2 linked regions of the Macaca fascicularis genome follow. The protein of the gene in region 1 interacts with the protein of each later gene in a biochemical or structural test. Links are inferred from orthologs where the notes say so. Each region holds a gene or a part of one and is shown in the gene's direction. Other genes may lie near its edges. The genes, in order: GABARAP and ATG4B.

What was found.
Region 2: the proteins of GABARAP (region 1) and ATG4B form a complex in vitro, tested with the Homo sapiens proteins (3 studies listed by BioGRID and IntAct, with this or other methods). The link is inferred for Macaca fascicularis from reciprocal best matches to the Homo sapiens genes GABARAP and ATG4B.

Annotation. Positions count from the first base shown.
Region 1 is NC_088390.1:7,288,972-7,293,136, reverse strand, and holds GABARAP (gamma-aminobutyric acid receptor-associated protein), read left to right. Parts: upstream 1-1,331; 5' UTR 1,332-1,450; coding exon 1,451-1,540; intron 1,541-2,112; coding exon 2,113-2,191; intron 2,192-2,331; coding exon 2,332-2,450; intron 2,451-2,868; coding exon 2,869-2,934; 3' UTR 2,935-3,369; downstream 3,370-4,165. UniProt on the Homo sapiens protein: Ubiquitin-like modifier that plays a role in intracellular transport of GABA(A) receptors and its interaction with the cytoskeleton.
Region 2 is NC_088386.1:137,583,086-137,587,640, forward strand, and holds the start of ATG4B (cysteine protease ATG4B), read left to right. Parts: upstream 1-1,464; 5' UTR 1,465-1,486; coding exon 1,487-1,496; exon of another isoform or gene 1,497-1,600; intron 1,601-1,680; exon of another isoform or gene 1,681-1,963; intron 1,964-4,555. Other genes in the region: peroxynitrite isomerase THAP4, read right to left, coding at 702-778. UniProt on the Homo sapiens protein: Cysteine protease that plays a key role in autophagy by mediating both proteolytic activation and delipidation of ATG8 family proteins. Required for canonical autophagy (macroautophagy), non-canonical autophagy as well as for mitophagy.

The DNA of each region.
Region 1 (4,165 bases):
CTTTGTTGTGATTGGATTTTTTTTTAAAACTCTTGTACAAAACTGATCTAATTCTTCACTCCTGCTCCAAGGGCTGGGCTGTGGGTGGGATACTGGGATTTTGGGCCACTGGATTTTCCCTAAATTTGTCCCCCCTTTCCTCTCCTTCTATTTTTCTCTCCTTAGACTCCCTCAGACCTGTAACCAGCTTTGTGTCTTTTTTTCCTTTCTTCTCTTTTAAACCATGCATTATAACTTTGAAACCAAAACGGCCCTAGGTCCTTCTCTGGGGTTTTGGGAAGTGAAGGGAGGGAACTTTGTTTACATGCACCCTGTCCCCCGAGCAGAGAGGGAAGAGACTGCTGTTGGACTCAAGGGGCAGGGGGAAAGGTGGTGTTGAGTATGGGGATACAATAATGAATGTGGCCACCAGATGCTTTGGCGGGAAGGGCCGAGGATGTGCGCGCTGGTGGGGAGTGGAAAGATACCTTCGGAGCAGCAGGCTAGAAAGCAAGTAAGGAGAAACCTGGACGGCCAAAGGGCGTAGAGCTGGAGAAACGTCGGGCTTCGTCCGGGGTACTGACGTGGACACGTTAAGCGGGCGCTGGCCCCAGGCGGCTGGCGCCCCGACCTCCGCAGTCCGGGGAGGCGTAGGTCCCCACTCGCCGCCGTCGCCCAGCCGGCCCCGCCTCCCCGGCGCCCTCCCAAGCCGGCCCTACTTCGCACACCCGCCACGTGACGCTCCGCCCTCTTTGAGATCACATGATTTCACTCAAACCGTGCGGTGTTCCTCCGCGCTGGCGTAGTCCCTACCCCTCCAACCTCCTCTCCAGTCCCTATTGGTCTACTCATTCTTGGCACTTAAGCGTTCTGTACATCTCTCCAAACATCTGTTTTCTTTTTGACCTCTTACTTCTGGAGATCATCTCCGCCACTTGGGTACTACTTTGTTTTGGTGTCAACGGCCGCCTTCAGCGTAGCAATACGGTTCGTGAATAGCTAACCTTGTAATTGTCTCTGCTGTTCCTCTACGTTGTTTCCGAAAGGAACTTGGAGAAGCAAGTCTCGTATGATGATTACCATATCTTACTCCTCTTCAGCCCCAGCTTCGTTGAGGGGAAGGTTGGGGAACAGATTTAGAGTTATTTTCCATGACCAAAAGCCAACCGTCTTTGCTACGTCGCCTGCGTAGCCCACAAATTGATTCCAAAGCGATTACGCTAATGGCGTGAGGGGGCCGGTCAGTGGGTGGTGCTACGCTAGCAGCGTTAGCACCGCTGAGGTAGTGGCGTATCTTAGTGGGGGGGCCGTCCCCGATAGTCGGGGGCGGGGTTGGTGAATAGGGAAGTGGCGCAAATTCGTGGATCGCTCCGCTGAATCCGCCCGCGCGTCGCCGCCGTCGCCGCCGCCCCCCGTCCCGGCCCCCCCGGGTTCCCTCAGCCCAGCCCGGTCCAGCCCGGTTCCCGGGAGGATGAAGTTCGTGTACAAAGAAGAGCATCCGTTCGAGAAGCGCCGCTCTGAGGGCGAGAAAATCCGAAAGAAATACCCGGACCGGGTGCCGGTGAGGACAGAAGCCAGGGCCGAGGGCGCGGGACGCTTACGCTGACGCCACAGCCTGGCCTTGGATCTGGGACGGGCAGCGCAGGGATCAGGCTGCTGGCTGTGTTGGGGTTGGGAGCGAGCCTGAAACTGCTGTCCTTGGGACCGAGGATGAAAGGAGTGGGGTAGTGGTGGACGTGGGGTTGAGAGGGATGTGGACAGGAGAGAGAAACCTTAGCATTTGTGTGAGTGGAGGCCTTAGAGAGTTTGACAGCCTGAGCCTCAAATGGCCATACCCCCAACTAGCTAAGGTTGCGAGATTGAATCACTAGTGGACCCAGACAAGTCATCTCCGTCTGATTAAGATAGTTGTTTATGGTGACGCCCTATTCGGTGGATGGATCCTGGATATTTAAATAAGCTCCAGTCAGTGAGGTCAGGATCTCTGGGACTCAGTGCTGCACCGCGTGTACAAAGACAAAGAGATGAGTCTGGGGTAGATTTAGGTACTAGGAATATTGTTACTTGAGTTCCTGACAGGTGCAGCTTTGGCGCTGCATTCCTTCTGTCTGCTAATTTTCGTCTCTTTATCAGGTGATAGTAGAAAAGGCTCCCAAAGCTCGGATAGGAGACCTGGACAAAAAGAAATACCTGGTGCCTTCTGATCTCACAGGTGGGAACCTGACCCAAGGCTCAGGCTTGCTTCCCGTGGGTGGGAGTGCAGTCTCTGTGGGAGAAGGCTCCACCTAGCAGCTGTTCTTTTGAGGGCATTTTTGACCTCTGTGACTTTCTTGCACCTTGTATCTTTTGCAGTTGGTCAGTTCTACTTCTTGATCCGGAAGCGAATTCATCTCCGAGCTGAGGATGCCTTGTTTTTCTTTGTCAACAATGTCATTCCACCCACCAGTGCCACAATGGGTCAGCTCTACCAGGTATGGTGACCGGGAAGTGGTGGAGGCTTTGGAGAGGAATCTTGGAAGAGCGTGAGGGGAAGAAAGTGTTGTTACATCAGTATTTTGGACTAGCTTCCTCGCTTGCCTTAACATTTCATAATAGCCGTGGTTTGGGGGTTGGGACAGAACAGTAGGAGTAGAGAGAAGGAAAGAGAACAGTGAACTAGAGAAACTGTTCGGGACTCTTCCCAGTCTTCCTCCCCATTCCAAAGCAGCAGAAAACAGTTTGAGGCCTTTTTTGCCCAGGACTGCAGAGATTATATTGCTCGTGTGCTAGGCCTTGGAGTCAGTGAAGGAGTCGGGCACTGGTTTCTGGTTCTAGAAGAAAGTGTCTGGGTCGTGGTTGGTTTAAGGAACTGGAGCCCAGTTGCTGAACAGTTTTCTGCCTTCATCCCAGGAACACCATGAAGAAGACTTCTTTCTCTACATTGCCTACAGTGACGAGAGTGTCTACGGTCTGTGAAGCTGCTGTCCCTGAGCTGGAGGGGGGTCTCATTCTACAAAGAGAGAGGTGGCCCCCTTTTCTTGACCTCCTCCTCCTTCAAGCTCAAACACCACCTCCCTTATTCAGGACGGGCACTTCTTAATGTTTGAAGTTTTCTCTCCAGCCTCTTTTCGGAGGGGTAATGGTGGAGTTGGCATCTTGTACCTCTCCTTTCTCCTTTCTTCCCCTTTCTCTGCCCGCCTTTCCCATCCTGCTTTAGACTTCTTGATTGTCAGTCTCTTCACATCCAGTGATTGTTTTGGTTTCTGTTCCCTTTCTGACTGCCCAAGGGGCTCAGAACCCCAGCAATCCCTTCCTTTCACTACCTTCTTTTTTGGGGGTAGTTGGAAGGGACTGAAATTGTGGGGGGAAAGGTAGGAGGCACATCAATAAAGAGGAAACCACCAAGCTGAACTGAATTTTGCCTTGTGTTGCTCCCCTCGTCCCGCTGATTTTTAGTCTTTCCAAGGTGTCAGTGGGTTTCAGTGGTGGGGAAAGGAGTATTGGGTACAAGCTGGAGGAATAGAAGTATATTTTGGTTTATTCTGTCCATGTTGGGCTTTTCCCTGTCTGCAAAAAGAGGGTGCTTTTTTGTGATGGAATGGAATACTGAGGATCATTTAATGAAACTTTAGTTTTATGACATGTATGTGAAACTGAATGTTAAAAATGCTCACGTAAAACTTTTGTTTTTTTTTTACTGTGGGTTCCTGTGGAGAAAGTTCCAAAGTACCTGCTTTAGGTGAACATCCACATTTGCTAGAACATTCTAATTAAGGAAGATATTTTCATGTGTGTAAGCTAGTAAAACGGCTGTTCTCAGTTGCATGTCACTTGGCTAGACTTTTGCCGGTGTGTGGGATTCAGCAGAGTGGAATCAGGGAGGGAGAAGACTGGGAGGGGGAGCCATTATCGCCAGGAATACTTCATCTCCCAGCAATCATTTCTCCGGCAGGCCGGAAGTGGGGCGGTCCCTCGGGGGAGAAAGAAGCTGCAGAACGAGACAGTATGGTGGCCGAGAGTTCTAATCCCTTCTTCCTCTTCTTTCTTGGTCCCGCCCAGCCTACATCTCCCAGGGGCCTGCGCGCGCACTTCCGCTCTCTCCTCTGGCTCCCGGTCTCCCCGCCACTCCCCGGGGGAGGGGAGCGGCTTGGGGCGCCTGCGCCAGCCTGTGGCTTTCTGGGAATCAAAGTTCCGGAGGCTCATGCGG
Region 2 (4,555 bases), on another chromosome or scaffold:
AACACCCTGCAACAAAAAACAGAAACATCTACAAAGTGGTTTTCAAAGTCTGTTCGCGGTTCTGGTGCCTCCCGCGTGTAATCCGCAGAAATCTCACTGAAATAGGCTGAACCCACAAGGCCTTAGGGGGGTTTGGGCCCTGCCGCGGGGGCCCACGTGGGAAGCGGCCGAGAGCCCCGGGCCAGGCTCTAAGGGAGCGCGGGAGGATGCGGTCCCCAGCCGGCCGTCCCGCAGGCTCTCAGCGCAGACCCGCGTCCCGGGATCGGGGGCCCCGTCCCGGAAAGCCCTCTCGGGGGCTGTCAGCAAGGGAGGCGCAGGTCGCATCTGCCCGGCCGCTCCTGCTCGCAGACATCCAGGCCGACCGCCCGCGGTCCGGAGAGGCAGCAGTCGCGGCCGAGCAGGACAATCGGCCCGGGACCTGCGCTTCCAGAACGTGCGGCTTCTGAAGCCGCGGCGCCGGCCGGATCGATCGCGCGCAGGGCGGACCCGGGCGGCCGGGGTGGGGGCGGCCGCTCTGCCCGAGGCGCCCGGCCCAGAGACGGCGGCCGGGCCAAGGTCACACAGCGCCCACGCCCGCTCCCCCGCGCCCCGGCAGCCGAGGCCCGGCGCCCCCGCCCCCTGCGTTCGGGCCGGCCGCGGGGCCTCAGTTTCCCCGCAGGGCCGGGCCGGGGCGGGGGCGTGGCGGCCCGGGGCCCGCGTACCTGTGGAAGGAGACGGCGCGCTTCTCGCCCTTGCCCTGCCGATTGGAGCAGTTCACGGCCGCACAGCAGATCACCATTGCGGGCCTTGGCCCAGCCGCGCCGCCAGGCCCCGGCCCTCGCCGCCCGCCCGCCCGCGGACCGCCCCGAGGGAGGGAGCGCGGCGGCGACACGGCTCGGGACGTGGGCCGGCCCGCGGCGTCCGCGCCGTACGGCAAGATGGAGGCGCAGACGCCCGCCGCGGGCCCGCCCCCGCCCCCGCCCCCGCCCTCGCCCCCGCCCGCGTCCTGGCCAGGCGCGGGTTCGGGCGTCTTCGGGACCAGCGGGGCGCAGCCGGCCCCTCGCAGCGTCCGCCGGCAGGCGGGCAGGCGGGCGGTGGAGTCGCCCCGGCGGGGCCAGTCCGTACGGCGACATGGGCGCGCCGGGCACGTCCGTACCGCAAGATGGCTGCTCGGACAGGGACAGAGCCCGCCCCTGCCGCCTGGACAACTGCTCCCGGGTCCTCTAAGAGGAGGAAGCGCCACCCATGGCACGCAGTGTCCCGTCGGACAGCAGAGCGAGCCCTCGTCCCGCGACACGACTCCACGCCGCTCGCAGGGCGCTCCGGGCTCGCGTTGGCCCGGCCGTACGCCAAAATGGCGGCTCCCGCGTATTTCCGCTTGCGCGCCGTATCCTCTTTGCCGCCTGCCGCGCGCCCCGATTGGCCCCCGCGGCGTCCCGTCGCCGCGTCGCGCTGCGGGCCCGTCGGAGCGACGCCGCTTGGGTCAGTCGGCGGCCGGACTGGGAAGATGGACGCAGGTGAGGGGTTGCCGGCGGCCTGCCTTTCCGCAGGAGGTGCTCGCCTTATCATCGGCCTCCGCTGCTCGGGGCCGGGCTGCCGCGACTCGCTCCTGGGCACACCGGTGCGGGCCAGGCTGGGCCGGGGCGGCGGGCGCTGCGGGAGCGCGGGGCGGTGTTGGTGGGTGGTGGGCGGTGGGCGCGAGAGGGGGACGGCGGCGCTCTGCGCCGCGGAACCGGCTGTCGGTTGCCCTGGAGCTTCTGCTGCTTTTCTGGTCCCGCCGGGAGCGCTCTGGAGGTTGTGGCTGCACGGGCCCTTGCGCCAGGTCGGCCGTGGAGAGCGGCGGAGCCTGCCGGGCGGGGAGTGGCGCGGCGGCGGACGGGGCGGCCGCGGTCGGGACCGGGAACGCCAGCGGCGGGCGAAAGCGTGGCCTTCCCGCAGCTGAGCGTGAAGGGATGGAAATTCTTTAACTTTTATGAAGTTATTGGTAGGTTGGAGGCGAGAAACATGACATGTCCATCACAATATACGCATATTTTTTGTGTTTGTTTTCAATTTAGTAACCAGTAGGTCCTCCAAGCTGCTTTTCCGCGACGAGAAAGAGAAACAGTGAATTTGTGTCATCGGGTCTTAGTTTCTTGGGTTCATGAGAGAGAGATTGTGTGTGTGTGTGTGTGTGTGTGTGTGTGTGTGTGTGTGTGTGTGTGTGTGTGTGTAGTGTTGGTGTTTTTGCCTATTCTTTCATGCTTCCGCTCCATTTTTGCTGGCAAGATAGTTTTAAGTCGGTACCAAACCCATCGCTTGCCCAGTAGCCCTTGATACATTTTTACACAGAAGTTTTAGCCCATTCATTCTTTTGGGAACTGATTTGCTTTTTATCAAGTATCCCCTTTCTGTAAAGAAAGATTTTCATCTGGTTTAATTCTGTCATTCTGAATGTCAATCTTTACTTATTATTTTTCTGGCAGCTACAACACGAATTTATTAAGATCTGAGTAGGAAAACTGTAATGTGTATTGCCAATATCTGTTTAAATCATTTGAAGCTGGCCGGGCGCGGTGGCTCAAGCCTGTAATCCCAGCACTTTGGGAGGCCGAGGCGGGCGGATCACAAGGTCAGGAGATCGAGACCACAGTGAAACCCCGTCTCTACTAAAAAAACAAAAAAAAAAAATTAGCCGGGCGTGGTGGCGGGCGCCTGTAGTCCCAGCTACTCAGGAGGCTGAGGCAGGAGAATGGCGGGAACCCGGGAGGCGGAGCTTGCAGTGAGCCGAGATCGCGCCACTGCACTCCAGCCTGGGCGACAGAGCGAGACTCCGTCTCAAAAAAAATAAAAAATAAAAAAAAAATAAATCATTTGAAGCTGCTCCCCGCTTAAATGTGGTAGGTGGTTGGAGGAAACAGGAGCCCTGACTCCCTAAGGAGCATGTGTATCTTGTGAAGTTTGTGTTTTAGAATAACTGTCAGACACGGTTGTACTATTCGCAGCTGTGTGCTATTTGTTGTTTACTATTTTACAACTGTTGTATTATATCTTATTAGGTATTATTGTTTGTGATGCAGGATTTTTCTCAGCCACTTTGCCAGCCAGAGACCTCCAGCTGGCGAGGCCCCTGCCCAGGCCTTGCCTGGGTCCGGGCTCGCCGCAGGAGATGCCCTGTCTACTTGGCCCACCGGGTGGCACCTGGTTTGCACTCTGGCACGGATACCATGGCCGCCATGACTTCATGCTCAGCCCCTGGCGGGAGTGGGTGTGTGGGTGAGTGAGTGCCGGGTCCCGCCAGCTGTTTCAAGTGCAGACACCAGAGTGGGATCTGCAGAGCTTACAGCTAGACGTGTGGCAAGCAACTCCCACAGTGGACTCCAGCATCCAGACAAGGGGGCAGTGGATTCTGGTGTCCAGACAAGGGGAAGGTAGTGGCGCCCAAGCAGGGATGCTTGCAACCCTGAAGCCTAAGAGAGGGTGTTGCAAAGTGTCAACAGCCCTGTCACTCCCATTGCCCTGCTCCAGGCTATAGCTCTGGGGCTACCTCCATCCCCCCAGCTGCTTCCCGTTGCTGTGGGCTGTCACGTGGGGCGACTGCCCTTTCCCAGCAGAGGGCCGAGGGCCATAGTGTTACAGCTTTCTTTGTACCTGCATTCATTGGGTCCTTAGTTCTTGTCCCACGTCCAAGAAGAATGAGATTATACCGACAATCGAAGAGTGAGGAGGGTGGAGAATAGTTTTATTGAGTGATGAAACAGCTCTCAGCAGAAAGGGGACTCAAGGGTGGTCTTCCACCCAAAGTCAGGTGGTCTCCCTTGGTGTGGCTGGGTCCAGGGCTTTTATGGGCTCAGAATGGGGAGTGTGTGCTGATTTGCTTGTGAGTATGCAAAAAAGGCTAAAACAAAGTCACCACTCAAAGATGGGCACAACAGTGTAATAAACCAATTAGAGAAGGGTAAGTATATGTAAAATAGGTGAAGGGTGGGGATTAATTAGAGGAAAGCGCACCAAACAGGAAGAGAGGTTTGCAGTCCAGTCTGTGGATTTATCGGAGACTTGTTGCTTGGCTTTCAGGCTTTAAACTGTGGCTTGAAGGTTGGGTTTCACTGGTGACTCGCCCCTCTCTGCCTAGGATTTGTCTCCCCCCTGCCTCTATCATTTCGATACCTTGACACTGGAGTATCATATGAGAGACTTGGTTAAGGTCAAAAACAGAGTTCAGGGTCGATCACATGACCTAAAATATGAAAATCATCATGTTCAAGTTAGGAGAACAGTTATGTTGTTACATGATGATAGTTTATTTTTGTCTTTTATTTTCTCTTGACTACCATATTGACACGATGATACTTTAATAGGACACGGGATGCTGCTGCATGCGGAATCAGAGTAGGAAAGTCGCTTGCATTTAAAGGTCTCTGTTTATGCTGATAAAAACATTTATGATGTTTGTAGGATATCATGGGGAATTTTCCTTCTTACTTGATGCTATATTTCCTTTCAGGGATGATTAATGATCTGCCCTCCTCTGATCTCTAGAGTTCTTGAAGATTCTGCCTTCCTTGACCATGTGTAATACAGTTTCTGTTTGTTC